Tamandua tetradactyla: one gene and its partner. The protein of the gene in region 1 purifies or fractionates together with the protein of each later gene. This does not show direct contact. Links are inferred from orthologs where the notes say so. Each region holds a gene or a part of one and is shown on either strand. Other genes may lie near its edges.

Region 1 (16,167 bases):
AGGAAAAAAGTCAAGTATGTAGATGAAACATCCTTCTGGATGTTAAAGTCACCAAAAATGATGATAGGAATAGAAGTGAGAAGGAAGGTGGTGAGCCAGACACTAGAGTTATCAATGAAACACAAAGAGCAAACAAGAAGTAGGTAGTTAATAAAAAGAGAGTGAATGTTCTAGTTTGCAAGCTGCCAGAATGCGATATGCCAGAAAAAGAACAGCTTCTTAAAAGGGGGAATTTAATAAGTGGCAAGTTGATAGTTCTAAGCCCATAAAACTTAAAACAATTAAAGCAAGGCTATAAAAATGTCCAATCTAAGGCATCAGGGAAAGATAAGATACCTTGGTTCAAGAAGGCTGATGAAGTTCAGGGTTTCTCTCTCAACTGGAAAGACACATGGTGAACCAGGAGACGTCCAATAGCTTTCCCCCCAGGCTTCTTGTTTTATGAAGCTCCCCTGGGGGGGGTGGGTAGGGGGTGGTTCTCCTTCTTTGTCTCCAAAGGTTTCTGGCTGGGCGGGCTCTCCTGGTTCTCGTGTCTATCTCGTCATTCTGAAGCATTCTCCAAAATGCTTCCTCTTTTAAAGGTTTCCAGTAAACTAATCAAAACCCACCTGGATTGGGTGGAGTCACATCTCCCTCTAATCCAAGATTAATACCCACAATTGGGTGAGTCACATCTCTGTAGAGATAACCTAATCAAGTTTGCAGCACACTGTGATGAATAGGGATTAAAAGAAACAATGCTCCCACAAGATTGGATCAGGGTTAAAACATGGCTTTTCTAGGGTACATAATCCTTTCAAACCAACACAGTAAATGGTAAGGCTAATCTTAAAAACCTTAAGGGACCTGAGGTTTTAGGAGGAGGAGGAAAGACACATAGTTTGAAGTGGTAATGGAGAGCAAGGAGGACACCTACCCCATCTCTGGATCTGAGGTAAACTGAGAAGTGAGAAGGAAAAAAAAAGTCTCAATAGGATTTTACTTCTGAGTAGGATATGGAAAGTCACTATGGTCCAATGATTCTGTTGAAACAACTAGAAGACACCAGATACATTATGAAAACATTTTTAAAAGATATCCAAAGCTATGGAATTTAAAAGGGAGGAGAGCCTTTTGAAGTGAGTTGATGATGAAAGTTGTTTCTCCCCTGGGGCCAATTGCTGATTCTGGGTATGGGTTGAGGAATGGGTTTGGCCCAGGCTGAAGGACTCTGCAAGAGGGAAGAGAAACTAGAGAAAACATCAAGGCTTTTGGTAGCCACATAAGGCTTGTGTAACAGATTATAACTTGAGGTGTCCCACTGCAGCCAATTTCCCCATCAGACATTTGCCAAATTATGAGACTGCTCATGAAGGAAGCTGGGGAGCTAGAGCAAGGGCTTCTAAGAAGCAAAGTGAAGTATCTCATGATCTCATGGTGCTCATGGGGAGGATACCTGCTTCAAACACACAGCTAGCCTAACCTTTAATACGCTGTCAGATTTTAAAGCTAGGAAGCCAAAGAGCTAAGCACAAAAACCTCTAAAGGCCAAAACTGAATGTTCTGCAATTTCTAAGGGTAAGAAAACAGACACCTGCTAGCTTCTCCATTAGAAGCCCAGAAGAGCTATCCTCAAGAAACAGGGATAAACCAGATGTGGACTAAGACTAAATAAAATTGCAATCCAACTCCAACCAGACAGAACTGAAGTCATCACCTCTCATCATATATAGAGGAAAAAGAGAACCTTATCCGGTGAGAGATTTTATCACCTGGAGCCTCTACTATTTGCTTTTATACAATGCCCAGCAAAATTTTTTTAAAAAAACGAAAACACTAGATATGTAAAGAGGCAGGAAAATGGGATGAATAATCAAGAGAAGAAAACAAATAATAATATGTACTCCCACAGATGATCCAGATATTCAAGTTAGCAGACATGGACTTTAAAATAACAATTTAATTGTTAAAGAAAACAGAGGGAAAGATAAACAAATGGAAGAAAAGATGCAGAGTTTCAATAAGTGGGATGTATATAAAAACAGTCAAGTGGGCATTCTAGAACTGAAAAACATACTGTCTGCAATTAAGAATTCATTTAATGTGCTAAACTGTAGACTGAACACAGCATAAAACATGATTAGTACATTTGAAGATGGTCATTGGAAAATATCCCAATTTAAGCACAGAAGGGAAACAAAGGGATGGGGATGGGAACAGAACAAAGCAAAAGAGTCATGTAAGACAAAGTAAAAAATCTAAAATATTTATGCTTGGAGTCCAAGAGGGAAAGGAGAGTGAAACTTAGATAGAAGCAATATTTGAAAATGGTCAAGAATGTTCTAAAACTGATAAAAGGTATTAATCAACAGATTCAATGAGTCCAATGAACCATGCAGGATGTAAAATAAAATAAAATCACCTTCTATACAAGATATTTGTAGGGGAATGATTTGGTAAGTAGAGAGCCAGGTATTATTTAGGATAAGGAAGTGAGAGAGGTTAACTACACGAGGGGGAAGTGTGTAATGAAAAATTATGTATTCCAAGGCTTGCAGAAGATGGGTTTTAGAAGATCATGAAGCCTGGGAAATTGAGTTGGATTAAGAGATGTATGGTTATATGAGGAACAATTGGATTCATCCTGATAGTCTCTTAGGGAGGTAATTAACCACTTTAAGGTGGGTGGAGACCCAGCAGTCTGCTTTCTTGCACCTTGTCATGGTTAGGCTCATGTATCAACTTGGCCAAGTGGTGGTACCTGTTTGTCTGGTTGGGCAAGTGCTGGCCTGTCTGTTGCGATGAGGACATTTCATAGAATTAAATCATGATCATGTCAGCTACATCCATAGCTGATGCCATTTGTAATCAGCCAAAGGGGAGTATCTTCTGAAATGAGTAATGCTTAATCTGATCACTAGAAGCCTTTTTAAGGAGGATTCGGAAGAGACAGGCTCTTCCCGTCTCAGCTGGTGAACCTTTCCTGTGGAGTTCGTCCAGACCCTCTATCGGAATCGCCAGCTTCACAGCCTGCCCTTGCAGATTTTGGACTCTGCATTCCCAAGGTCACGGGAGACACTTTTATAGATTTTATATTTGCAAGTGTTCTCTGTTGATTCTGTTTCTCTAGAGAACCCTAACTAATACACACCTGTTAGTAACAATGATAGCCAGAGGTGAGTGAAAGGCTTTTTAGGAGAACAACAGCTTCGGCAACAGGAAACACTTATGGCGCCTCTGCTTTCTGATGGCAGAGCAATGTGGTAGTCTGGTAGAGGAAGAGTACTCTCACCCACAGGAGGAACTACAGACTGCCTCTTTGCAGCTTGGGTGTTATGGCAACTGGAGAAGTAGGTGAGGGGAAGCTGTCTCTTCTCTGCAGTACCCCGACCTTCAATTCAAGTCCATTTCTTCTACCTGCTCCACAGCCATACCCTGGACTGGGTCATCACTCAGAATGGCTCTAATCTGAAACTTACGTACACATGGCTCTAATCTGAAACTTAAATACACACATTCTACTTTCTGACTCCAACTTTCTATTTTTCCAGCTCCCTCACTCATTACTCCCTCTATTCCTCTTCACTCACCTCCTAGGAACCTCCAATTCTACTCATACATCAGTATCATTTCCTTCTTGTTCTCATTTCCTACTCAGTCCCCAGAGTCCTCGGCCCATCACTTTCAGCATTCTCAATAGCTTCTACAACATTACCCATTGCCTTCTATTGTATATGTATGTATATAACAACTGTTATTTCTGTACTTACATCTAGTTTAGTGAGTGCTACCTGAGAGAATCACACAACTGGGACTACAGGTACCAACACTCTCTATATATTTTCAAATATAATTGTATAGGGGTAAAACATGATTGAAACTCATTATAAAAAATTAAAACAAAACAGATGCAAGTAGAGTAAAAAGTTAGAGTTCTCCTTCATCTCCTCTCCTAAAATTGCCCCTGAAGACATCTACTGTTTACAGTTTGGCATATTTCTTTGCATATATTATTTCTATGCATGAAAATTGACTTAAATGTAGATAGTCACACATACATACACACGTAAGTACACACAAATATGAATATGGATAGTGTGTTATGTTGACAGTGCCCCCATCCCCCCCAAAAAAATTCATGTCCACCAGGAACCTCAAAATGTGACCTTATTTGGAATGAGGGTCTTTGCAGATGCAATTAAGTTGAAGTCATACTGGATTACAATGGGTCCTAGGTGCAATGACTCTTATAAGAAGAGGAGAGGACCCAGAGAGACATAAACATGTAAGGGCAGAGGCAGAGATTGAAGGAATGCAGCTGCCAGCCAACAAATGGTAAGGATTGCTGTGGGCCACAAGAAGCTAGTAAGAGGCAAAGAAGAATTCTTCCCCAGAGCCTTCAGAGGGGGCATGGACCTGCTGATACATTGTTTTGTGATTTCTAGCCTTCAGAACTGTGAGGGGATAAATATTTGTTATTTTAAGCCACCTAGTTGGTGGCAATTTGTTATGGCAATCCCAGCAAACTAATACAGACAAATATGTAGAATCATAACAGACAATTTATTGGGCAACTTGCCTTTTTATGTATTTTTTTATTTATAATATTTGTGGAGGTTTTTTTTCCAATAGGTATGCATATATTCTGCATTCTACATATTTCCTAATTTGAACATATTTACTGCTTTTCACTATGTGACAATGTTACAATGAATATGGTGGTAGAGGCCTCTTTCTGAGCACATGTGGAAATATTTCGCTAAAGTAGCTCCCTAGAAATAGAAGTGTTTGGTCAAATGGTATATACATTTAACATTTTAATAAATATTTCTAAAGAGCCATCCAAAAAGGATGGAGGCTATACCAAATTGGCCTTTTCAACTGTATATGAGTTACCTTCCTAAGCTGGTGCGGATCAGTTCTCTTTCCTTCCCTAAATCTCTCTCCCTCATTTCTCATTTTTCTCTGCTCAAACCTCCCACTGCACCCCCTCAAACAAACATATAAGTCCTTAGCAAATATCTCACCGAGTATTTGTACATTAAAAAAAGAAAGAAAGAAAAAAGCCACTGGGGAGAACTTTGTGAACTTCCTACCCATAGTCGACAAAACTCACTGAAACACCCCTATATTGTCCTCTGTTATAGTGGGGGAGAGAAATACTCCTTAACTCCTGCCTGAAGTCAATTTCGCTGTGCGGTCCTCCCCTCCACAAAAGGCTAGATAAATTTTATGTAAGCGTCTCCGCTTCCACTCTCTCCTCAGATAAACTCCATCTGTCTTTCTGCCCTCACCGCCCCACTGAAACCGCTCTCTCAAGACTCTTTTAGGTCGAATCCACGGGAACCCTTCAAGTCCTTATCTTAGGCGACAGTTACTCTCTCTCCCTCTTAAAACACTTCCTACACACTCTTCCGATTTTCCTCCTCACTCTCCGGCACTTCTTCCTCAGTAACTCCTGCCTGCTCCTCTTGTCCAAACCTTAAAAGCTGAAGTCTGGGGTTTCTGTCCTGGACCCTGTACTCTTTTTCCCTGGAGGACGTCACCCACTTCTCCCTTCAATCATCATCGCCGCTCTGTCTTCATCTTCAGTCTAGACAGCGACCTGACCAAAGCTCACCTCACCCTCTCCCGTTCCGCTTCTACCCTAGCTCCGGCTACCCCGAATCCTCCCTATCTCCCTCCTATGGTCACTCCGCGGCGGCCGCCAAACAGCTCCAGTACCTCGCAGACCTGAGGAACATAGTTCTCCTTGAAGTAGCTCCTCAGCCAGGGGTTGGCAGCGCGTAGCGAGGACATGCCCAGAGGCTGGACCGAGAAGCTGAGCTCCCCGCCGGCTCTCCACGCTGCGCGCGGTTGGCTCGGAGCTGGAACAAGGGGTTGGCGCTTCGGCACGTTGCCTTGGCAACCGCTGTGCTGGAACTGGGCGGAATCTCCAGCCCTCCCCCCACCCTCGGGGTCCAGAGCGACAGTCTGGGAGGAGGTACCCGCGCGGGGCGAGATGCGCAGGGGAGTAGCCCCAAGGGAGCCCGCCTCAGGGCCGCGGCGGCGATCCCTCGGGCGTGCTCTCTGGCGCGCAGTCAATGCTGTCTTGCACGGAACCCAGGCGCCCATTCACGCTCTCCAGCCCTGCCTGCGAAGAATTCGCAGGACCGCCGTGGGGCGCCAGGGGGAGGTTTTACGATTTGAGCTGGGCCATTTCCGGGAGGCGGAGCTCAGGCTCTCATTTCCTTTCTCTTCGATTCCGTATCTGTCGGGCAACTGAGCCCGTGTGCCGCGGAGGCCCCTGCAGCCCACCCGCACCTCAGTCCCGGCCCCGGCCACCACGAGCTTCCTGCGCGGGTTCGGCCCTGCGCCCAGGTCCCGGCGGCAGCATGGGCCGCGCCCGGGATGTGGGCTGGGTGGCGGCGGGCCTGGTTCTTGGCGCCGGCGCCTGCTACTGCATTTACAGGCTGATGCGGGGCCAGCGGCGAGGCGACCGTGGGCGGCGGTTGCGCCCCTCGCGGTCAGCAGGTGAGGCCGCCGGGCGCCTGGCCGGAGAGCGGGCTCCGGGGTTGCCCCGGGCCGGGCCGGGGTGGGGGGCAGCAGACGCCGGAGGCGCTCGTGGCTTCCCAGTTCTCGGAGTAAAATAAGGAGCCGGAGGAAGGAGGGAGGCTTGAGAGGAGGGCAAGGCTGGAAAATCCAGGGGGAGGTTGGATCGTGCGCTTAATTTGCGTGGGGGCTGGTTTCTGACTCCCTCTCCTGCCCCCACTTATTTGTTCAGAATCCTAGCATAAAACATTTGTTTAACTTCCCTCCCTTAGTGTGTCTGAAGTCTGCGGGAGAATCAATTTCTGGAAAGCGTGTTGATTGTCTGTCACTTCCCAACTGGCTCCGGGTCTTTGTGTTGCCAAAGGGTTTCCCCGGACTGTGGACAGTGTTGCGGGGACTGGAGACGTAGATGAAATTGTGCATACAGCTGCCCTGGAAGTAGGGACCCCGAGAGTGGCAGTTCTGCCTGCGCTGGGCAGGGCCTTTGTGAGAGGAGGAACTTTTAGCCACGGTGGTCCCAGATCTCACTCGTACCTTTTTAGGCCAGAAAGTCAGTTTTTATAACATTGATCAGACTCTTAAGGATCCGTTTAGCTCAAACACATTTTGAATGGTTCATTAAGTGGACAGGCTCTGGTTTGGTCAGGAGATACAATTTTATAAACCTAAATGCCAATTTATTACTTTGAAAGGAAAGATAGATGTTGCAAATTGTAACCGTTGCCTGCTTGAGGCACACTCTCCTGGCAGACAAGTGCAAAGATCAAGTTTCTAAGGTCCAAACTGGTACTTGTATTCAGGAATCTAACGGTTTGCTGAGTGTTCTCAAGATATTTCTCTCAAGTTGTGGAAGTCGTTAAGAAAATAACTAAAAATAAAACCTGCCGTCCCAGAAAATCTCCACAAATGTAGAAAAGAAGAAAACAGATACATTTTTGAGCATTAAACCAGACTACAGTGTGCATCACAGGAAATCGCTAATGAGGTTGCTAAAACAAAGAAATCTCTCCTTTTTTATTTTTATTTTTTGCATGGGCAGAAAGAAATCTCTCCCTTTTATGTAGCCAGACAGATAAAATCCATTACATAGATGTTCTTAAGATAAATAATAACTTGGTCTCAAGTAAGAGAACTTGATAGCTCTATTTACTATAGATGGTTCATCCTAAATTCACCTGGTTCTTTGAGTGGCCCTCTCTGTTAGCTAATTGCTTTAATCCAAAGGAAAAATAAATTTCTTTCTGACAAGCAGGTTCTGTAGTTACAACTTGGAGCTAGGCTAGCATAGAGCTAAACAACCACAGTGACCACTAGTGAGATTGGGGCTCTGTCTTCTTGACTTTTACATTTCTAGAGACATGGACCCAAAGCCTTTAAGAAAGACATTCCTGGTTTATAAAATTGCCTAGAAGTTTATTTAGCTTTTAAAAAGATTTACATAAATTTCAAAGGGGCAGAGAAGATTTGCTGTTACTAATTTTCTCAAGGGAAATGCTCAAGAAAGGGAAAGGAGAAGGTCTCCCTTTAGACACTAGAAAAAAGACAATTATTTTTTAGATTTATATTTACTCTTACAAAGCCTAATTTGTTGACTTTGTCTCTGTTGGAGGTATTTTTGTATAGGTAATTGGGCAGGTGGCTTGGACCTGCATACCTTCTCATGTAAAACCAACATGATGAACACTAATAAAGTCTTCCTTTTAAACCTAATTTTACTAATCCCTCAAATCACCATTATTTGAGGTCAAGCAGTTTTCAAAATAAGTTGCTAACAGTGTCTTTCTCAAAGTTGTAGTCCAATTCCTTCCTCCTGAAGCTACCTTTATTTTTGAAGAAACTTGAAAATGCCTGCTTTGTCAGCATCACCCTTCAGTTTCAGAGGATGAGATTTTCTTTGTCTTAAACCTTAAGAAATATGTAACTTCTATACTGTTAATACTATTTCAGGGCACTGAAAAAGATGGAAACAGTCCCAGTTCATTCAACAATCTGAATCTAAAACCTGACAAGGGTAACATGAAGAAACTATGAATTTGTCTCAATTATGAATGAAGATACAAAATCTAAAAATATTAGCAAATCAAATCCATTAGAGGATTAAAATAACAATGTACCATGGCCGAAAAGATAGGAAAGGAAGGTTCATATTGGGATATATATTAACATACTTTATTGCATTAAAAAAAAACAACATAATGTCATACTAAAAAGGTATATATGCATCATTTCAGTTCAGGAGGTGGTGAACCCCTGAGCCTCAGATTCTTTCATAATCTTATTGATACAAAACTAGATGGAGAAGTAGGGCATACAAATGTTTGACTACCTAAACTATATAATAGCGGTTCAAAAACTCGCTAATAAAATACCTAGATATAGAGTAATAGCCATCCTCTCAAGTTTTTGGTTTTACGCATATTTATTTTCCTTACTGAAAAAATAATGCATTTTTAATTAATTCAGGCAGCATATCAGTTGAGGTTTCTTAAAAATTAAAATAGATGCTTATTTTAACAGTTTAAGAGGCATGGGGTTGGGGGCAAGTAATAGACTAGAAATAGAAAGTTCTGGTTTCTAGAGCCAGTTTTATTAACCAGCTGCCTATCCTATTAATAATGATATCTAAAATATACCAAGCACTCATGGTGTTCTAGGCACAAAAATGCTTTGAAGCAGCATTAGTTTTCATCTAGTAGATGAGGAAGTAGGCTTGGAGAATTTAAGTTTTTCAGTGTAGTAGCTTAACTGGAATTTGAAGTACATAGTCTGGCTCCATAGTTCTGGCTGATTGTTCTCCTCCCAGTGGAAATTCTGTGATTTTGCCACTTTAGCCTATGTATATATGGCTGTTTATAAATAGTTTAACTATTAAACTAAAAAAAGGGGGATTACAAGGAAGTAATAGGATTTAAAAATAAACATTAATACATAATTACTTAAAAGAAGAATTTGAATGAGTTAAATTGATATTTCTACCATGTGTGCACATGCATGTGTCTATAAAATCACACAACTTCAGAGCTATATAGGAGCCTCAGAAACCAGTTATAGTCTTAGAGACCATCCCGTTTATTTTACAGATGAGAAAACAGAGTCAGAGAGGTTAAGTGACTTGCCTACAATTTTGAATTTTCATTTCTCTGGTGTCTGCTACTAACTACCTATGTGACTGTAGGCAAATCCTTAAGTGATATTGGCTCCAGTTTCCCCATGAGTAAAATGAGTAGGTAGGGTGAATTCTCAAATTCTTTCCATTCCAAAAAATTTGTCTTTCTTTCATTTATCTTTTTTTGTATTCTTTGAGTGAAACTCTATTTTATAAGATGTATATAAGATATGTAATAGATTCAGAAGTAAAAACCAAGTTCAGGAGTCCTACAGGCTTTTTAGCTTTTAGATTTTCCTAATAGAATTACTGATTTGGCTACCTCAGGACATCATATCACTTATTGTGTCCCTGTAATCTTAGTTTGCCCCATCCCCTCATATTTTTTTTCTGATTACTCTTTAACCAATACACTTAATTATTTTAATGACAGGTATAATATATATTTTTTGTAAAATAAAAACAAAAAATGAGAAAGTACTCATAAGCACAGGATAGAAAATGAAAAGTCAGTCATAATCTCAGTCTCCAAAAATAACCATCTTTACCAGTTTGGTATGTAATTTTTTTTCCCCCAGGGGTAGGCACCGGGAATCAAACCCAGGTTTCTGGCATGGCAGGCAACAACTCTGCCACTGAGCCACCGTTGCCTGCCCTGGTAGGTACTTTTAAAAGAACAAGCACAGATGAGAATCTTTCAGCACCTCGTGTTGTATGGCTTTGCTTCCCAAGTCCCCAGACCCCATACGTGGCAGTGTATTGTGGAAACATGCATAGTTTGACCTTTACTCTTATAGTTTCATTTCTAAGGAATCTCTTTCTAAGCTTGTAACACAAGAATAATGTTATAAAAATTGCTTTGGTTTTTTCCTGTAGTGATTTCTGTAAAGAGTTTTTGTTTTGTTTCTAAGCAGACCCTACATTCGACTACATTAGCCTTTACGCAGATTGATGACCTGTGTCATCACCAATAGCAGGACTGTCATTTTAGCATCCCTTGTTCGGACAGCCATGCAAATACTCCACACAAGCCACATAATTGGGCTACCTCCCTTAGCTTTTTCTGTTGTCTGAGGTCCTTTTAAAATTATGAACAGAAAAGATCTGTTTAATGCAAATCCTGTTCCTTAATTTCTTCTGTTTCTTCTTTTAAAGTCAGGTGCGCTCATCCAATGGGACACTTGCCCATTGGGTGTATGTTATCTGCATGTCATCATCTTGCTAACAGAGAAATACCAAGTGGCCATTGATTCGTTTCTTAACATTTATAAGTCTTAGTTTCCCATCCTTAAGATGAATAATGGTGTTTTCTTCCTAGGGTCATTTAAGGATTAAATAAGATAGCATGTAAAGTGCTTGAATAGTGCATCAGAGTATGTGTCTGATGTTGTTTTTAAAATCAGAAATCTCATTGCTTTTAGATGATCTTCAAATAACTTTCTTTTTATACAGAAGACTTAACAGATGGTTCATGTGATGATGTCTTAAATGCTGAACAACTTCAGAAACTTCTTTACCTGCTTGAGTCAACTGAGGATCCAGTAATTATTGAAAAAGCTTTGGTCACTCTGGGTAACAATGCAGCCTTTTCAGCTAACCAAGTAAGTTTCCTAGTCTTAGCAAACAGTTCCTTCCATTTTTAGGCGAGATGTAATTTGTGACTGTGGGTAAGTAAGTTAACCTCTCAGAGCCTCAGTTTTCTCATCTGTCCAATGTAGTTGCTGATACCTACAGCAAAATGTTTGTTTCTGAACAGTACAGCCTAATGGTAATATTGTAAATTAATATGATTCTAGAGTTTTATGAAATTGGTCACTGACACCACATTCATAATCAGTGTATCTAATCAACATTTAGCATTACATGGCCATTTAACTCCTTTAAAATTCAGCAGTGCTTCATTAGAACAATGAAAGCATCTATTATTTAGCTACATGCTTTAAATAGTATGTAGAACTTAAGAATATGTTTAGTTTATGCTGAAATGGCATACAGGTTGAAGATACCGTTATGTTTGTACTTGTTTGCACGTGCATGTGTATTTATCAATCAAGGAAACTATAGTATCTAGTATTTTCTGATAGTTTTTAAATATGCTTTAAAGTTCCCCACTAGTGATAACCAAACTTTACTGTATGCATAAGAATCCTAACAGCTAGGAACTTGTTAAAATTACACTTACCTGGGATCCTTTCCAAAAGTTTGTAGTTGAAAAGGTAAGGCCTACGAGCCCTCAGTCTTGGGGTTTGTTCATATGAGACTTATCCCCACAAAGGATAGGCTGAGCCTACTTAAAATTAGGTCTAAGAGTCACCCCCAGAGAACCTCTTTCGTTGCTCAGATGTGGCCTATCTTTCTCTCAACCAACATGGCAGGCAGACTCACTGTCCTCCCCCTCGGTACGTGCGACATGATTCTCAGGGGTGTAAACCTCCCTGGCAACATGGGACAGAAATCCTAGAATGAGCTGGGACTCAGGCCTCAAGGGATTGAGAAAACCTTCTTGACTGAAAGGGGAAAGAGAGAAATGAGACAAAATAAAGTGTCAGTAGTTGAGAGATTTCGAATAGAGTTGAGAGGTTATAAAGTAGGTTATTCTCATGCATTATATAGAGATCCCCTTTTTAGTTTAAGGTGTATTAGAGAGCCTAGAGGGAAGTGCCTGAAACTGTAGATCTGTGCTCCAGTAGCCATATTTCTTGAAGGTGATTGTATAATGATACAGCTTACGCAACGCGACTGGTTGTGAAAACCTTGTGTCTGATGCTCCTTTTATCTACAGTATGGACAGATGAGTTAAAAATATGGGTTAAAAATAAATAAATAATAAGGGGAACTAATGCTAAAACACATTGAGTAGATTGAAATACTAGCGATCAATGAAAAGGAATGGTGAGTGGTATAGGAAAAAAATAGGGGGGACAAAGGTTAAAATATATTGGGTAGATGGAAATACTAGTGGTCAATGGGAGGGAGGGGTAAGGGGTATGGTATGTATGAGGTTTTTCTTTTTCTGGAGTGATACAAATGTTCTAAAAGATGATCATGGTGACAAATATACTACTATGTGATGATATGTGAGCCATTTGTACACCGTGAATGGAATGTTTGTATGTTAAGAATGTTCATGTTTCTATGTTGTTTTGGCTTGTCAATTAAAAAAAAATTAAATTAAAAAAAAAGGCAAGGCCTGGGGATCTGCATTTTTAATAAGCGCTTGGGTAATTCTGATACAGGTAGTCCCCAGACCACACTTTAACAACACTAGTCAATGTAAATGGCTTCTACCAAGCAAACACTGGTGCCAAGACTAAAGAATTTAATTTGAATGCTTCCTTCTTTTTTATCCCCCCTGTACAGAGAAAGAGTTAAAACATTTGGTGTTTGTTTTGGTTTGTTGTAATGCCTTTGGTTAGCATCATCATAAATGCAAAACTATTTTGAATTTATGTTTTATTTCAGTCCATTTTCTCCAGCAAGACAGGTTTTACTGTAAAATCTCTAAAGGTTTATAGAAGGATGCAGAGAATATTTGTATTATTCACACTCTTTCAGTTGCAAGTGACAGAACCCAATTAAATTTACTTTAAGACAAAAAGGGAAACTATTGGACTCAGTTTACTTGGACATCCCAGAATAGCATTTATTTCAAACACAATTGAATCAAATTAAGGGTGGCAGAAAAGTTATCAAAGTGCTTTCTCTCCCTTTCTCTCCACCTTTTGTTTTTGTATGTCCCTGCTTCTTTTTTTTTTTTTTTTTTTAACATTTTCATTGTGAAATATAACATATATACAAAAAAAGCAATAAATTCCAAAGTGCATTGTAACAAATAGTTTTTTAGAACAGATGTCAGAATTTGTTATGGCTTACAGTTCCAAAATTTCAAGTTTTTCCTTCAGGCTGCTCCAAGACACTGAAGACTAGAAGAATTATCAATATAATGATTCACTAGTTATACCCATTTTTTAAATCTTGTCTTCTCTAACTCCTCCGTCTCCTTTGATCCTTCTCCCAATCTTATGCTATGCCCACTTTAACTTTTTCTTGTTGGAAAGGGTGTCAATAATATGGGATAAGGCGATGGAATTAGTTGATGTTCTTGGAGAGGCTATCCCCTCTGGATTTCAGGGCTTATCTGGCTTAGGAACCCATCTGAAGGTTGTAGGTTTCTGGAAAGTAAATCTTAGTATGTGAAATTTGTGTAGGTTAAATAAATTTCAGATAAAGCCCTAGGTGTTCTTTGGGGTTGACAGGAATGGTTTTGGTTAGGGTTTTGCAAACCGTGGTAACTAGCAATATCTAGCTGAAGCTAGCGTTAAGAGTAACCTCCAGATTAGCCTCTTGACTCCATTTGAACTCTCTTAGCTACTGATAACCTCATTTTGTTACATTTCTTTTTCCCCTTTTGGTCAGGAAGGCATTGTTGATCTTACAGTGCCAGTGCCAGGGCCAGGCCCATCCCCAAGAGTCACATTGCTCATTGCCAGGGAGACTTTCACCCCTGGATGTCATGCCCCACATAAGAGGACAGGTAATGATTTTACTTGCAGAGTTGGGCTTAGAGAGGCCACATCTGAACAACAAAAGAGGTTTTCCAGAAGGAACTCCAAGGCATAACTACAGGTAGATTTAGCTTCTCTGCTACAGAAATAGGCTTCACAAGAACAAGCCTCAAGATCAAGGGCTTGGCCCATTGAGTTGGGAGTCCTTACTGTTTGAGACAGTTCCATCCTTCAACGGAGTGTGTTAATGCTTTTAAATTATCTGCTCAACATACTCTGGAATGTATCTGAGTATTACATTAAGCTATAAGAATTGCAAGACCTCATTCCTAATTTTAGGCTCCTTGTGTTTTGGTTGTTTAACTGAACTGGCCAGACAGGTTAAGTTAGCTTGTGTGCTACAGAAAATTTAGGTTTTGGACAAAATAAGCCTCTCTTCCTTTGGTTTCGTACAGTAGGTGAAGTTCTAAGATACAGACGATATCATCCTTTTACCCTGTATGCTGATTTACGATAGTCCCAACCAGATCGGCTTTATTCTTATCTCTAATTGAAGGTTGATCTCTTTTTCAGTTGTTGTATGTAGCAATGCTGACTTTCGGTTGTTGTATATAGCAATGCTGACTTTCAGGGCCGCAGAACTCCAACTCTGAGTCTTAGGTGTCATACAGGTAGCCAAGGTTCCAGGGAGATACCAGGTTATACATATATAGCACAGCATCTTGAAATCTAGAAATAACATTTATAACTCTGAACTAAATGTGAGTGCTATAAGAGCTAACAATCTAGACCCCAATTTTCTCATAAGTATTTTATAAGAGATATTACAATATTTATTTTTTGTTTCTGACTTATTTTGCACCACATAATGTCCCCAAGGTTCATTCACCTCATTGCACACCTCATGACTTTGTTCCTTTCTATAGCCACACAATATTCCATCACATGTATACATCACAGTTTGCCATACTACTTTTCATTCACTGTATCCTTCAGCCACCTCCTTCCATTGAGCATCATGTATAATGTCCACGGTCACAATCCATGTCTCTCATTATCCTCACTTAGTTGTACAATCATCAGCACTAAATTTTAGACAACTTTCATTTCTCCAATCAGAAAAATAGCTAATAAACAGATCCTCACCAAATAGAAAATCCAAATCTCCCCTTGACTTTTGTCCTCCCCCCACCCAATTATTTATCCCTCGTATTGCTGTGGTACAGTTGATGTCCTATTAAATATAGAACATAGCCTACAATAGTAGTTTTCCCCCATACCTGTTTATTATTGACTCTTTGTACAAGATTCATACCATTGAAGTTGTTCATATAATAGCTTATCTATATTTATAGTGTTAATCAGTGAAATACATATACAACCCCTTTTCAATCATGTTCACCTTCAAAATGGCAGTATTACTTATAGACCCATTAATGAACTGCCTTCACTTCTGTCCATTCCCCTACATTTAGGTTCAACCTCATTAGCTAACCATTTACCCGTCTCTAGCTTCTGAGTATTTCTAGGTCCCCTATATTTTATATTATGAGCCTCTGAGTTTGCATTTACCAAGGTCATAATAGCAAAATCATACAGCATCTGTTCTTTCATGTCTGACTTATTTCACTCAGCATCTTGTCCTCAGGGATCACCTATGTTGTCACATACTTCAGGACATCACTTTGTCTTACTGCTGCATAATATTCCATCATATATATATATACACACACGACATTTTGTTTATCCGCTCGTCTATTAATGAGCACTTGGATTGTTTCTATCTTTTGGCAATTGTGAATAATACTGCTATGAACATCGGTAGGCAAATGTCTGTTTGTGACATTGCTTCAGCTCTTCTGGGTATATAACGAGTAGTGGTATTGCTGGGTTGTAGGGCAACTTGATATTTCATTTTCTAAGGAACTGCCAGACTGTTCCTTAGTGGCTATACCATTGTACATTCCCACCAGGAGTGGATAAGGGTTCCGATTTCCCCATGTTCTCTCAACATTTGTAGTTTCCTGTTTGTTTACTAGAAGCCAT
Region 2 (15,886 bases), on another chromosome or scaffold:
GCATTTATATCAACAATTGCTATTTCCAGAAAAAAAGAAAAAAAAATTCTTTACAAAGTACAAGGGGGTCAGGGAGGAGGGAGACAAAGTTTTATCTGCCATTCTTGTTTGAAATAACTGGTAATTCCTAGCCTTGTGCTTGTCTTGCACACATAACCTCCACAAGTAATCTCCTACCCAGGGTTCTGAGTGCATCCTTCCCTGGCTTTTCTAACCCTGGTCTGGGACAAGCAGCCAAAAGCCTTTACAGAAAATCTTGCCAAACACAGCTACACCTTTCCCTACCTTAGGAAATGTAACTTAGTGAGTGTAATTGAGCTTAAAAAAAAATTCTGGGAATTTTTTTTAAGAATAAGAAAGCAAGCCATCTAGACAAACTAATTTAATTGTAACGTAATTTTGAGAGAAGAGAATGGTCTAGGCCACTGGGCTTTTTTGACCCTGTATTGCTTTATCCTAAGCAGTGGAAACCTATTTTCAGAGATTTTATGTAGAACATGTATTTAAATTAAGAGATAAGTTACCTTTTTAATTTCAGTTGTTTAAATTTATAACTTTTACTTCCTATAAAGTTAATCAGTGAGAAAGAGGAAAGGTTATTTTGAAGAATGCAAAACTGGAAACTGGATGATACTGGCAGTTTGATATAACCCTTAAATTCTTGATTTTCTTTTTTGTTGCCAAGTATCAATAAAATCTCAATGTACACATATAAGGCAGATGGCTCTGCTTATTTGTTGAATACCAGAAACTCACATTCACCTTCAATTACACAGAGACCCCAAAGGAGGCTCTACTCTGAGCTTTATATAAAAAATAGGGTGATGTGGAGGCCTGTTTATTATTATTTGATGTAAACACATTTTAACATGATGTGAGTACATTTCTGAAATGGTTAAAATTCACTACAAATCAAAATAAACCTTTGTAGATCTATGTGAAGTACCAACATGGGGTCTGGACCCAACAACTCTTTGAAATCCCTTCTGAGACTTGGAGGCTAGGCCTTAGGACGCTTTGCAACTGCGGCTGATGCCCTCTGGGAATGCTTCTGCGGTCATACCAGGAAGCCCAGACTAGTCTATTGGAGACTGAAGCCACATGGAGGCGACCCAAGGCACCCAGCTGACAGCCACCGGTTACTGCTAGTGACATGAGTGAAGCCACCTTGGAACACATACTCCCAGAAGATTCCCAGATATTGCAGCCGCGTGAATGAAGTGCAGAGCCAGCCGAGGGCAGCCTGAACTGCAGAATCATGAGCAAATCGATATTGTTTTAAGGCACTAGGTTTTGATGTTGTCTGTTACACAGCAATAGGTAACTGATACATCCAAAAGATGTATTGCTTATACAAAAAATACTACATTGATTGAAAATATATATACTAAATACAATTAAAAAAAGTTTATTAATTAAAAAAATAAAGAAACAAAATAAAACAACATACATAATCAGTAATTCACAATGTCATCACTTAGTTGCATATTTATCATTTCTTAAAATGATTACTGTAATTAATCATTGCAATTACAGTACAGATTAATTACAATGACAAGATGTAATTGTCATTACATCTTGAATAACAAGATGATATCTACTTGATGCATAAGAATAACCTCCAGTATAACCTCTCGGCTCTGTTCGGAATCTCTCAGCCATTGACACTTTGTCTCATTTCCCTCTTCTCCCTTTTGGTCGAGAAGGTTTTCTCAATCCCTTGATGCTGAGTCTCCGTTCATTCCAAGATGTCCCACGTTGCCAGGAAGGTCCACACCCCTGGGAGTCATGTCCCACATAGAGAGGGGTAGGGTGGTGAGACTGCTCGTTGTGTTGGCTGGAGAGAGGGGCCACATCTGAGCAACAAAAGAGGCTCTCTTGGGGGTGACTCTTAGGCCTAAATTTTAAGTAGACTTGACCTATTCTTTGCGGGGTTAAATTTCATATAAACACACCCCAAGACTGGGGGCTCTGCCTATAGCTTTGGTTGTCCACACTGTTTGTGAGAATATCAAGAATTCAACTTGGGGAAGCTGAATTTCTCCCTGTTCTCACCACTCCCCGAAGGGGGCTTTGCAGATACTTTTCCACTTACTGATCGAATCACTTTGGGATTCATCGGGGCATCACTCTGGACAAACCAGCAAAATCTCATGTCCTACCTGAGATTCCAAGTACTTACGGCGTTCAATCAAACTATCTACATAAGTTATATTAGGAAATGCACTAGTCAAAATATAAATTTTTTAACTAATAAACATTTTTTGCTGTAGTCTCACACAGAAGGTGACATTTTAAAATTAAATACAATTTTTAACGACAAGTTAAATATCCCTAGCACGTGGGTTTGTGTTTGCCCTTCCCCTTCCCTGATTTTGGTTAACATCCTCTGTGTTATTACTTACTTTTGGAATGTCTTCTGACAAATGCGTCTGTTCCACCTGGTCGCCTATTTGTTCACCAATTTCTTGGTCCATTTCTGCTCAAAATATGGTCCTGTGTGTGCTCAGCTGTGCTCCTCCTGATACTCAGAAACAGACATTTATATTGTATAAATCAATCAAAACATCATTTAGCTGTTAATATTTGGTGTGTATGCTGTCCCCCCTCTGAGTTTTCACAAATGGCTGAGTTACTGCGACAGCGTTTGGTGAACACTGTGACAGGATGCTTGCCTCGGGAAGGAGCACAGCTGGACCTGTTACACACCAAACACACATGTGGCCTAGGAACAGAATCAGAAGCTGGCTCAACAACCTCACTTGTCAATTAAAACCAAAACAACAACTTTTGTATCATGGCTCTTTTCCCATTGAACGCTCAGAATTTCCATTACTCTCTGTTTGTACTGATTGGTAGGACTGTGGCAGAGCAGTGGGAAAAAGCAGTGACCTGGGGAGCCCAAGGGCCTGAGTTCCAGTCTTGGCTCTATCATGAACTGTGCAAATCGGCTCAAATCACTTATCTTTGCTATCATTCAGTTTCCCTATCAATAACCCGTGTGCCCATGATGCTGGGGCATGGGATGAGATGGTGTTGTCCTGGCTGTTTAAGCTAAAGCCACCCTGGCTAGGCCAAGTATGGTGGGGACCAACGGGCTCACATCTGGGGATGAGGCCTGGCCACGCCTTTACAAAGGCCCTTAGGATTTGCTTCTCCCTTCAGGCATCCACTGTACTGAGCTGCAAGTGGGGAGCAGGAGTTTGACTTTTGGCTGTGTTGTGTCTTGTCCTGCATTTATACTTTCTTAGTAGTGGCCAATTTGCTTAGTCACAGGTTCCTGAAGGTTTGCCTACCCCAACCCTTCTTGGAACAAATGGGCAAGATCATGAATCCTGTAGGAACCGATTTATAGTTACATGAAGTGTCAAAAGCCAATGTGCCTTGAAATGGATGTCAGGACCCTCAAAGTCTAATGGAGCCATTTGGGGGAACATATTTCTGAAATCACAAGGGAAACCCTCAGGAAAATCTATCTCAAAACTTCACCTGTTATGGGCCTTTTTAGAATGTTTATAATGAATAAACAGTCCCCTGTAGGTGTCTGCCCACCCTATTCCTCTCTTTGGGCGAAGCAGATCCAGCCCAGGTGATGGGCTTCATTTGAGGTTAAAGTACATCAGGACCAAAGCAGCTCTGGGGCAGGGATCTGGGCCCTTGCACCAAAATCCTACAGACTGAATCTGCCATGAGTTTGGGGTCTGTCTTGCTCACAGCAATACCTCTGGTGGGAAGCCCAGCGCCTGGCACAGAGTGGGCACGTGCATGTTGGTTGGGTGAATCCATTGTGCACACACACCCACAGAGATACCCTTTCCCACTGTTCTTCACCATATGCGTGTGCGCACACATGCACACGCACGCACGCACACACACACACACACACACACTCACTCCCATCTGAGATGTAGGAGCTTCATGGAGTGAGGGGTACACAGGTCAGCTTTTTTTCCTGGTAGTACTATAGTCATAATTACCCACTGGCAGCTTCTTACTCCATTTCCCCAGATCCACAGGGAAATGAGAGGGTAGATGACATCTTGGGGGCCAGGAGAGTTCCCATATTTGGCCTCTGATCCACCAAGAGACTCTGCTGGCAGGGAGTCACCGCACAACCGTGACAAGTGGTGCCTGGGCAGCTACAGTCCTGTGCCCACTGGACCACAGGATCCCATGACACATCTAATCACGCGCAACAAGCCCACCCTCTGGGGAGTGCTGGGTCTGGAAGCCTCTACTCATGCTCATCGTCTACAAAAGACAGAAAGAAACTCACACCTCTCTTCTCAATGTAGTCAGTTCACCTGGTGAGTCTGGCTGCCTGGGATAAAATCCCAGCCCTCCTATTCCCAGCTGGAAGCATCCGAGGAGAGCCTGTGCTTTCCCATCTGTAAAACGAATGGCTCAGAGGGTCACCATGAGGACTACATACAGTTGAAAGAGAAGATGCCTGCAAAGCCCTTGGCACGGTGCCTTATATCAGGTAACACCCTATTCAAGGCAGCTAATTACCCTCCTACCCCCATTTCCTCTGCTTTCCCATGCTGCCCTCCTCTCTATTACCATGACATATAAGCTATGGCAGGTAGGGACTGTCCAGCTGCCCTGACCCAGTTTTTGAGGCAATGGCTAAAAACCACTGCTCTCCCTTCGCTAAGTCCATGCCCTGACCACTTCCCTTATGGGGCCTGAGTGCTCCTGGGCCATGCCACAACCATCTATCACAGGCCCCCAAAGCCAAGCACCTAGGGATGGTCGCTTCTTTCTGGAGTCTGCAGAATTGTTCAAACTACCCAGTCCACAGGGAGCCTGTGAACCTGAGCTAGCCCCACCTGCAGTTCCAGCTTGTGTTACCCTCTCCTGTGGGGGAACCCCATGTGGCCCATCTGGAACTGTAAGAAAGACTTCTTTTCTGCCTTTCATCCGCCAAGTGTCTTCGTGCTTCTTTCCACCATCTGAAACACCTATCACCCTATCATCACCCCAGTATCACAGAATTACAGAACACCCGCCCATGAGCACACCCTGCAGCACTTACACATTGGACAGACCGTGGGGCACATTTACAGGGAAGTGAAGTAGGTGGGCAGCCAAGTCCTCCCAGAGGCTCATTTCTGGCTGTCTAGCCAGAGACTAGCTAGTGAAGAGACAACAAAGGCTTGGTGTTCAGAGTATGTGCATGTTATTAAGTGATGGCAGAGATATGAAAAAGGAGTAAGACACATTAAGATGCATAAGCAGAGTGTGGTAGAGAGGAGTATTTCCCCTCTTACCTCAATCAAGGAAGAGCAGTACTGTCTCTAAAATATTTTCCTCTGTTCTTTCTTCCTTAATAAAAATTAAGGCTGGAGATTAGATTTCTTCACCCATGCAGCCTTAGGCTTTGCCTGAAAAGCAGGAAAAGAAATGGAGCAATAGAGAGCTTGTTTGGCATAAGTAAAGGATGACCCCAATGGAGGGGGGCGGGGGGAGAATGGCTCATTCACTTCAAATCTCTGGGCACACTTAGGGTGAGAATGCTGTCAGCATAGGGGGCCTCTTCTGTCAGCCTGACTCCAAGGTTAACACACCTTGCACTAGCCCACATGTTTCAGAAGAATTAGGTGAGAAAGAGGAAGTGAGAAGCAGAGTCTCAGTTTAGGAAAGCAGCAAGAATTACATTCTGAGGTTCAATGCAGAGCCCACCTGAACGAGGGGCTCCTCCCAAGTAGAGAGGACCCTCGGCGGGGGCTGAGGGCAAGGGCCCCAGCTGGCAGCACACACTGCCAATGGCACTGCATGGGGCTCAAGAGAAGCACCAAGAGAAACGAAAGCAGACATCCACATAACGATGCGGCCTCTGATGGTCACAACAGCCAAAAAGTGGAAGGACCCAAGTGTCATCAGTGGATGAACGCAATGAGCCACGAGGCTTGAGGCCTCTGATGAGTTGAACTTAACCACTCCCCTAATCCAGTGCTCTTTGGGGACTTACTTTCCCCAATCAGAGCTAGTTTTGATGTTCGTGCTAACCTGGTTATAGATCATGTGGGATCTGAGTGGGGAAGGTCTCCAGTGGGACTTGCCTCCCTCCTTAAGCTGGGTCTGGATACTCCAATCCCTAGACAGTTCTCAGCAAAGCTCTTACTTGACTCACAGAACTTACAAATTTGAAAAGAATCTGTCTCTGTTTTGAGACCACGTAGGCTTTATTTGGGTTTTGTTTTTATAACAGGCTGGTTTGCTAAGAACTGCTGGAGCACTGTTTTGAGCAGCACAGATCTGCGGGGGATATCATCTTTCTTTTTTGTCACCTCTAGGGAGTGAGGAGGGGACCTGGCTATCTTAGTTTGCTAGAGCGGCTTTAACAAAGTACCATAGAATTGTTGCTTTAAACAACAGAAATTTATCGTCTCATGATTCTGGAGGCCAGAGGTCCCAAATCAAGGTATCAGCAGGGAAGAATCTATTCCATCTTCTGCCTGGCTTGGAATAGGTGGCAGCCACCGGGAAACCAATCAGCATGCTGCAAGCTTTAGTGCACCCTGCTAGTTACCTCCGCCTGGAATACCACCCCTCTCATCCTCCCGGGCCCAGCTCAACTGCCACCTCTGTGAAATCTCCTCCCCGTCCCCAAGAAAGGTTAGTTGTTTCCTCAGCGCCTGGCGATGCTCCCATCAGAACACCTAGCTCACTGTCCTCTACTTTTCAAACCTACTCATCCCACTAGGCAGTGAGCCCCTTGAGGCCCAGCAGGTGCAGCATCTGCGCCACCTCCCGTGTGCTCAGGGCCAGCAGAGAGCCTGGAATAGAGCACGCAGGCAAGTGAACATCTGCTGAAATGTGTGGCTGGTCTACGAGGCTTCATCTGTAAAACTTCTTGCCTATCTCAAAGCGGCTATGAGGCTCAAACAAGCCCGGGGGGTAAAAGGGCTGCAAACTGAAAAATGCGGTTGTTGGTATGTGGACTGTGACCAGTGCCAAGCAGAACCTGCAAGACACAGAGCCTCCCCTCAGGGGCTCCCTGCCTATGGCAGGAGACAGACTTAGCAGGGGAATGAGTCAAACAGAGGGGGCTGGGTGTCCTGAAAGCCAGGCCACCGGCAGGGCTGGGAGGGATGAGGCAATGGCATAGAACCAATGTGTTCTGGTAACCGTGACAAACTGCATCATGGTGCGTGATGAGGCTGGGACCATGCAGGGGCTAAGGGGAAACCCTGTGGGGAGAAGGGGAGCCCCTGAGGGACATAAGTAGGAGTGAGTGCTTTGATCAGATATGAGCTCTGAAAAGTCCACCCTGGCCACAGGGTGGAGGTCAGGCTCTAGCCAAATTTAAGGCTCAGGGCATTCCAGGTAGAGGAAACAATAATAGCAAATCAGATAGAAGAAGTGACCTTACCTGAAGATCTGCTAAATGTCAGGCCCTCGTACATGAGTGCATTATCCCACAAAGACCCAGAAAACATTCAGCTGCTGAATGAGGCTGACATTGTTGGTCTCATGCAACAGATGAGAAGCTGAGGCTGAGAAGTCAAGGGACCCGCCTGGTACACAGATGGTCGGTCACACAGCTGGCACATGGCCAACGCAAATGTATTTGTTCCTGAGAGCCCCTGAAAGCTTAAGAGCAGGGGAGGGATGTGACCAGAGCTGGTCACTGCAGAGGCTAACCTGGAAGCACGGAGTACATTAGTTAGAGGGGTGTGAGGTGGGAAGCAGGGGGGCCACCCACTAGTAATTCAAACAAGATTTGAGTATCCAATACATGGCCCCTCATCATTCCAGGCACTAGAGTGCTAGCAGTGAACAAAACAAAGATCCCTGCCCTTGTAGAGCTTACTTTCTAGCAGAGGGGCGACCGAGTAGAGTAAGTAAAAATCGACAGCAGGTCAGAAGATGAGAGATGCTCTGGGAGAGAAAAGTAGGGCAAGGTGTGGGGGCTTGAGCTCCTCAAGGTGGTCTCACTGAGAAGATGAGAACTGAGCAAAGACCTAGAAGCAAAGGAGGCTAAGCCGGCAGCCAGGACAACTGGAGCAACAGTTCTAAGGCAGGAGGGTGGCTGGCACATTTGCAGCCCAATAAGGAAGCCAGAGTCATGTCCAGTAGTCAGCCAGGGGAGAGGAGGAGAACAATTAGGGAGATGATGGAGGGGGCCATACCGAGACCTGTACACTTGTCGAAAGGCTGAGGACGGCCTGGATCAGGAGAGAAGCAGCAAAGGTGGGAAAGAGCAAAGGAACAGTATTGCAGGGGTTAGAACTGATAGAAAACCGAGGCTAGATATGGGGGAGGCGGGAGACTCACAGAGTCACGATGACCCTGGAGTTTAGAGCCTGGGCTGGCTGCTCACAGGGCAAGAGGGGAAAGGGTAGAAGGCTGGTGAACACTTCCATTTACGGAGTAACTTGGGCTCTGTCCACTGTCTCCTCAAATCACTACCTAAAATCTAGAGGGGAAGCAGGGAAGGGCTGCGAGCCACTGAGTTCTCTGACGCTGGGCTGCCTGAGGAGGGCAGGTCCCTGGACCTCCAGCCATCTCCACTTTCGCCGCCCCATTTTAGGCCAAACCCTTGCAGGGGCTCCCATGCGTTCTCTAAGCGTGCCCCGATCTTCCAACTTCTTGGTGACACTGAACAGGATGGTGCCTCGGCCTGGAATGCTCCTCTCTGTCTGCCTTGAGTGTTGGGGTGTCCCAAAAGGGACATTTTGATGATCCTCCCCATCGTGGGCTCACATCTCTTTCACTCCCTTCAAAGTCCGTTCGCAAGGCCCCAGCTCACCTCCCTGGGTCGCTTTTAGCCATGGGAACTACTGATCCTTTCTGGGGACCTGGTTTGGGGACCGACTATTTGTCTGGGTCAGGGTAGGGTACTCTCGAAGGGACACACTCAAAGAAAGATCTTCTAAGTCCCAACCGTCCGTGCGAACCTCGGAGGCGCCGCTTGGCATGTCCCTTCTCCCGCCTGGGCCTCAGTTTCCCCGGGTATCTCTGAGCCCGGCGCCCGCAAGCCCCGACCTGGGCCGTCCCGCCCAACCTCGCGTCCCCGCCCCCTACCAGGCGCCAGCCCTACCGCCCTGCCCTCCGCCGACCCGAGGCGGCCCCCGACGGCCAGGCCGGGCCCCTTACCCACCTGCGGCAGCGCCCGACCGGCCTCAGCTCGCCCGCCGCGCGCGGAAAGAAGCCCACCCCGGGCCAGCCGCCCCTTCCTCTCCTCCCGCGTGAGCCGAGAATCGGATGAGGGCTCCTCCACCAATAGGATTGGCCCGGGGGCAGGCTCAGCCAATCGGCGCTCGCGGTGTGATCTTGACCAATGAAAACCGGTGTCGGCGGCAGGCGCACCGCCCCCTGTCCTCGACCTGGGTTTTGCCGGTTTAGCCCCACCCTCCCCTCAGCGCTACGCCACTGGGGAGCGGCGGCGGCGAGCGGCCCGCCAATGGGGAGCGGGGCCGCGCGCGCGGGGCGGTGGGAAAGGCGCCTTTTCAGTGTGTACGTCGGTTGCCCTAACAACAGCTAGTGGAGTCCGTTGGCGATGGTAGGTACCAGCAGCCGGGTCCCACCCCGCGTACCGTGGCTGAGCTGTTCCCAGGCCCCGGTTGGCGACATCGCCTCTCCTGCGCGGCTTTCGCTTTGGCGCACCCTTGGTTCCCTCCGATCTGAGTACCGGAAGGGTAGGGTAGAGACGCCGGCCTCCCCGCTGGGCCTGTGGCTTTGCTCCGCTTCCTCTCTTTCACCCACAGCCGGTCCTCACCCTCCCTCGGGTTCCCCCAGGCTCACGTAGGCTCCCCTCGGCCCCCTCGGCCCCCTCGGTTACTGTTCCTAGGTAAAGACTCGAGTTCCTCGCAGGCCCCGACCCCAGCCTCTCTCAGGCCGCCCCTGTCAGACCCTGGCCTATTGACAGCCTTGCTCTACCAAAGTTTCCGCACAGCGCTGGGGGCAGCTTTATGGTCTTGTTTGTTAACACGTATTTTAAAATGTAGATATAAAGACATTTGTGAAACTCGTTGAGCTTCATGGATAAGGCACAATTGGGCCTGCTGGGTTTACTTTTTCGACTCGATACTGTGAAAATACATCTGAACAACTTAGTAACGTTAGCAAACCATAAAGTTGGAGCATTTATAGAGGAAAGCCGGTACCTCGAGTGGGCATTGTAAGGACATTTCTAGAACTAGGATCCGATCCCCCAATTCTGTGAGAGTTGATTGTCTCTACAGTGATAGAGGTACCTCTTTTGCACACTCTCTTTTGGAATGATTTTCAATAAGGAAATCCCAAAGAACAAAGGATCCTTCTGCCACTAGAAACAATAGCAAAGAAAAAGGGTTGGGGAGGATAGAGTACATGGGACTGGGAGGTGAGGCAAAGGGATAAGGAAGGCTAACTCTTCTAAGATGCCTCTGACAGTTCTCTTCAGAGTCGGTTAACACGTGTGGAGCACTTCTATGGGCTACATACAGGGTAGGAGAGCGGGACCCCACCATGTCCTTACCCACCTTAGTGAATGCATTTTTCACAGTGGTTCGGAGGGAGGTTTTAGCTCCACTTTAGTGATGAGGCTATTGAGGTTCAGAAAAGTTCCTCAATTTCCTTCTGTCCACAAAGGTAATGACTTTGACTTAAAATCCATTGTTCTTTCCAATACATCCTGCTATCTTTCCTGCTAAGCAAAGCTTTGGAGTTGGTTAGTATAAAATATTTTAAAAGTACATATGGTTGTCTGTAGCTGTCTTATGTAAAGTATGGACTGTGTAACGTCACCTTGTGCTCATGTGTTTGTGTTCTGTCAAAAGGCCTCCAGCTTTAAGAAGGCCAACATGGCATCGACTGCCCCGCGAAAAAGGATGAGTCCTAAGCCTGAGCTCACTGAAGAGCAGAAGCAGGAAATCCGGGAGGCTTTTGATCTCTTTGATGCTGATGGAACAGGGACCATAGATGTTAAAGAACTGAAGGCAAGCTCTATCCATTCCTGCAATACTGCCTTTACTTACCCCTGCCCCTTTACTTTTTCTGTGTCATCCTTTCCGTCAACTCTCTACCCCTTTGCTCCTCTTCTCCCTCTTGCTGAGAGTAATAGGGAAGGATGCCCTGTGGTCTGTCTTCCTGTCTTTACCTCCCTCAAGGATTACTAAATAAAACTGATTGCAAATATCAATGAGATCGATGTCATAGTGTCTCTCAGTCATTTTCAGATGATTGTATCAGATGCTAATTTAATGCTCTCTAAGCTGCTGGTTTTGGTCCCACGAAGTTTAAATTTGCATATTGAGAGGGCATCCTGTTTTCATTGTAGGTGGCCATGAGGGCACTGGGCTTCGAACCCAAGAAAGAAGAGATCAAGAAGATGATATGCGAAATTGATAAAGAAGGGACAGGAAAAATGAATTTCAGTGACTTTTTGACTGTGATGACTCAGAAAATGGTAAGTTAACTAAGATAATCAGACTATTTTCCACCCATCATGCTGGATAAATTTGAATCTAGATATGGAAATTACCTCATTGAAGTAAAGCAAATAAAATTTGAAGCATTTACCTGAGAGAAGATAGTATTTTAGACTGAGAATTAGGATTATGTTCTACTTGACTTTCTTTGAGGTTTCAGAGCCACTGGAGAAGGCATTTTACGCTCTGGTACAGGTAATACTGCTGTCACTTTTTGTTGCTGTTATCTTTCTGCAGCTGCTATGTCAATGCAGTAACAAAAAGCAGTAAAACCTAGAAGCACCAGCAATATTAAAATGCCTCACATATTTACAATACAAAATGCCTCCCATTATCAGATTTCTTAGTTAAAAATTATGTCCTTCCCGGAATCAAACCCTCTTTGCCTTGTTAACTGAGTTCCATATACTTTAAAGTTCAAAATTTTTTTCTCTCCAATTTTTTCATTCTGTGCATCCTCAGCCCAAGGAAGCCCACTCAGAAGCCTGCCTAGAGCTGAGATTGCGTCAGCAGCTGTGCTTTTTCACTGCAACAGGGATTTGGTTCTTGAGCACTTCCAAGGTGGCAGTCATCCAATCCCTAGTCCCTCGGGGGTCATACTCTTAAAGGGTCCCCAAGCAAGTCTTTGAGTCTATATTTCTCAAGCATTCTTGGCTTAAGCACCAAGTGGGTGCCTCTTCCTTCTGAATTCCTAGCCAGTTAGGAAATACTTGTGGGAGTTGGAAAGGGAGCAAATATCACCTTGAATTGGATAGCCTGGCTAGACTGCCTTGGCACTGAGGCCCAAATGGGCTTCTTATCACTTGTGCCAGCCGAGATTGGGGTTATGGGATTGAAAGAGAAAGGGTAGTTGGACTGTGGCAGGCTACAGGAGAGGAGTAACTGCAATATTTCCCTGCTCATACGTTTTTATGTTTTACTTGTTAAGTCTGAGAAAGATACCAAAGAAGAAATTCTGAAAGCATTCAAGCTCTTCGACGATGATGAAACTGGGAAGATATCTTTTAAGAATCTCAAACGCGTAGCCAAGGAGCTAGGCGAGAACCTCACTGATGAGGAGCTACAGGTCTGTAATGTGTCAGGCAATGTTACGCTTTCTCTTTCCAGGAAAGCCAGTGTTCTCTTGGCCCTCTGCTGACCACTTAATTTCTCCCTTGATAATCTGACAAACCTATGAACCCTCCTCCTGGGAAAATGCACACATGTGCACTTTGACTTACAATTTTGGTTTCATTGATCCCCCTAGGCAAGGGGTTCCTCCAGCTCCTCTCTTCCAGGTGATATGAATGACAAAGTATGACTTGGCTTTTGAAGAACTTTCTAGGAACCCAGCTTTTATAAACAGCAGCCCATCTCCTATGGGCAGCCTCTGCTGTCTATTCACATAGCTTTATTAAAAGTCTATCGCTTTCTTGACTTTTAGTTTAAGATTTAATCTGACCTGAATCCTTACTGTCCTGTAGGAAATGATCGACGAAGCTGATCGAGATGGAGACGGAGAAGTCAATGAGCAAGAGTTCCTGCGAATCATGAAGAAGACCAGTCTTTATTAAAACATTTCGTCTTTTCTATAGCAAGCACATGTAACTAGATTTAAGTTCTGTCATTGTCCAAAATCTCTTTAGAGAACCAACCTCTTCCCACCTACCCCTACCCACCCCCCACCCACCTCCTGCCACTGACATCCCTATGTAACTTTGGTAACAACCCCTGTTCTGTTTAGACTTTCAAAAGTGTTCTTTGATGTTCAAGTTCTTTGTAAAATGACCTGCTGATTGTTTTCAATCTCAAAAGCAGAACTAGACTACATTAAATTAGAGCAAAGGGTCATAAAACTTCTACCCACCTGCCATTTTGCCTTGCATTGCTTCACCCTTATTGTGCATTTCCACCTATGTCCAAATACAGATCATCTCCTTAGAGAAGCACTTGTTGTACCTGTGTTGCCACACGCAGCAGATACCTCTTCCATGGTTCTGTTTTTAGTTGACACCTGAGGGTTGTTTTTCCCTTTTATAAAGCCCATTGAAATCTCTCACTGGCATCTGGGTGTTTGTTCATACTATTGCTTTTGTCTCAGAAATAAAGCCTTTCTGATTCTGAGTTGCTGTTCTCTAACGATGAGTTCTTTAGCCTTGACTACAAATTTAATCCTATCAACCATTGTGTGGAAGGTGGCCTGGCAAATATAAAATATAAAATTCCTTCCCAGCTCATAGACATAGAATGAAATAATTCTTTGCTATTTTCCTGACATGAAATGTTTCTTGCCTTGGGAACCCATCTCTTTGTAAAGCTAGTAGAATATACCTAAGCCCTAAATGATGTTCTAAAAATACTTTGGCAAAGTATAAGGCTGAAAAAGAGTCTCATTGGTAATTTATGCTTAGACAAAATATGGGGAGCCCAGGCTATTATGACAGACAGTTGCATTCAGTCAACTTCTGGAGAGTTTATTTGCTTGCAGTGTCTCTTGGAATCCTGGACTCAGTTTAGACTGAAGGACTTTGACCTTGTCCACCCCCCCTCCTGACCCTTTACAGGATTACCTGCAAGATAAATCCTGGGAGGTGATATTGAGCTCCCTGTCCCAGGGTGAGGGTAAGGAGCAAGAAGGGACGGGCAATGGAAGATAAAACAACACTGACAGCATTTCCTCTGTCTTCCACAAGGGGACAGGCAGAGAACTGGGTTTTTAAACTTCTGGATTCATCCTAACCCCTGGGGGTAAGATTGCCGGATTCAGCTAATAAAAAGAGGATGCTCAGAGAAACAGTAAATAGCTTTTTCAGTGTAAATATGTCCCATTTGAACTTTCTGTTGTTTGTTATCTGACACTCAGATTTAGGATGCCCTGCATTTAAACGGACAGGCCTACCTGGGAAGCACATTGAACATATTGTAGCATGATCCTGAGGCTTCGTCCCTGGAGACTGGCGTCCCGGAGGTCTGTCCCCCGACCCCACACCAGCCCTGATAAATCCCAAGCAGAGAAACTGGCAGGAAAGCACAGTCTAGCCTGAGACCTGGGTCCTCAAACAGGCCCCAACACTTCTTGGTTGGCCGGGCAAGCTACTCTGGACACCTCAATTCCTTGTCTGGGGGAACGAGCTGTGCTTAACTCAGAATTGATGAGGGTCAGATGAAAACTTACAGCCAGGGCTTGGCTTTGGGGTGCTCGAGAAGGAGGTGTATCAGAAATAGTTCTCACTTCTTTGTTATGATTATTGTAGAAGCTCTGTTAACAAGAAACTTGTTTTTGGTGAACTGTCCCAAAAGTCTGGGTTGGCTGCAATTCCTGGGAGGATTTGACCTTTGCTGCATTGCTGTTTTCTAATAAAAGGCATATGGTCTGATGAAAGAGCTCTCAGAAACCAGGGAAAAGTCTTGGCATTACCTCCCATTTTGCTGTTAACTGTGACTGTGGACACCTCCTTTTCTCCTCCTGCTTCATGATCCCATGAATGAAATAAAGTTTCTCAGGGACCTCTGGGGCAGTGGGAGAGTAGCGAGTAACCTGCGGGTGAAAAGCCTACAGTGTTCACTCATATCCGGGCCCAGCACCCATGTTGGGATGGGTTTGCAGCTGTCCAGTGGAGGGGATGAGAGGGAGCACGGATGTGGGGGGAGCCAGGAGGATGGAGAAGGAGAAGCCTCAGAGAACAGTTGCACTCTTGAATTGCCATCTCAGTTGCCCTTCTGTCCCTTCTCTAACTTTTCCTTGGAGCAGGGCTGAACTCGATCTACCCTATTTGTCCATCTTCTCGGAACCCCCTTATGATATCTTTTTGAGTTATTTTCTTAGTGGTTGCCCTGGAGATTACCATTAACATATATATATATATTTTTTTGCATGGGCAGGCACCGAGAACTGAACCTGGGGCCTCCGGCATGGCAGGCGAGAACTCTGCCTGCTGAGTCACCGTGGCCCGCCCTAACACTTTAACTTATAGAAGATATAGTTCTGAACAATACCATTTTAATTTCAATAATTTATATAAACTTTGCTCCTATATTGTTCTGTTTCCCCTCTTAGACTGTTATAGTCACAAATCATTTCTTTATATGTTGTGCACATATCAACTTAGTTTTATAATTATAGTATTATACAGTTGTGTTTTAAATAGGAAAAAGCAGGAGTTACAAGCAAAAAAATACACGTACACTGTCTTTTTTTTTGTTGTTGCTGCATGGTCTGGGAATTGAATCTGGGTCTCCTGCGTGGAAGGAGAGCATTCTACCACTGTGCCACCCATGCACCCCACCTCTACTGCCTTTTACATTTCCCCATGTAGCTACGTTTACCAGTATTGTTTACTTCTTCATATGACTTTGAATTACATTCTAGTCTCTTTCCATTGAAGTCTGAAGGACTTCCTTCAGTATTTTTGAAAGGAAGTTCTGATGGTTACACGTTCTCAGTTTTTGTTCATCTGGTAGTGTCTTAGTAATTTCTCATTCTTTTT

Evidence for each region.
Region 2: the proteins of FBXL13 (region 1) and CETN2 purify together in Homo sapiens (affinity purification with mass spectrometry; 3 studies listed by BioGRID and IntAct, counting the BioPlex papers as one, with this or other methods). This does not show direct contact. The link is inferred for Tamandua tetradactyla from reciprocal best matches to the Homo sapiens genes FBXL13 and CETN2.

What each region holds. Positions count from the first base shown.
Region 1 is NC_135327.1:141,334,135-141,350,301, forward strand, and holds the start of FBXL13 (F-box and leucine-rich repeat protein 13), read right to left. Parts: upstream 5,870-16,167; 5' UTR 5,779-5,869; coding exon 5,704-5,778; intron 1-5,703. Other genes in the region: ARMC10 (armadillo repeat-containing protein 10), read left to right, coding at 6,063-6,492, 11,069-11,217. UniProt on the Homo sapiens protein: Substrate-recognition component of the SCF (SKP1-CUL1-F-box protein)-type E3 ubiquitin ligase complex.
Region 2 is NC_135353.1:4,613,824-4,629,709, reverse strand, and holds CETN2 (centrin-2), read left to right. Parts: upstream 1-9,379; 5' UTR 9,380-9,508; coding exon 9,509-9,511; intron 9,512-9,520; exon of another isoform or gene 9,521-9,647; intron 9,648-10,769; coding exon 10,770-10,928; intron 10,929-11,269; coding exon 11,270-11,398; intron 11,399-12,348; coding exon 12,349-12,486; intron 12,487-12,883; coding exon 12,884-12,973; 3' UTR 12,974-13,458; downstream 13,459-15,886. Other genes in the region: NSDHL (sterol-4-alpha-carboxylate 3-dehydrogenase, decarboxylating), read right to left, coding at 2,406-2,477. UniProt on the Homo sapiens protein: Plays a fundamental role in microtubule organizing center structure and function. Required for centriole duplication and correct spindle formation. Has a role in regulating cytokinesis and genome stability via cooperation with CALM1 and CCP110.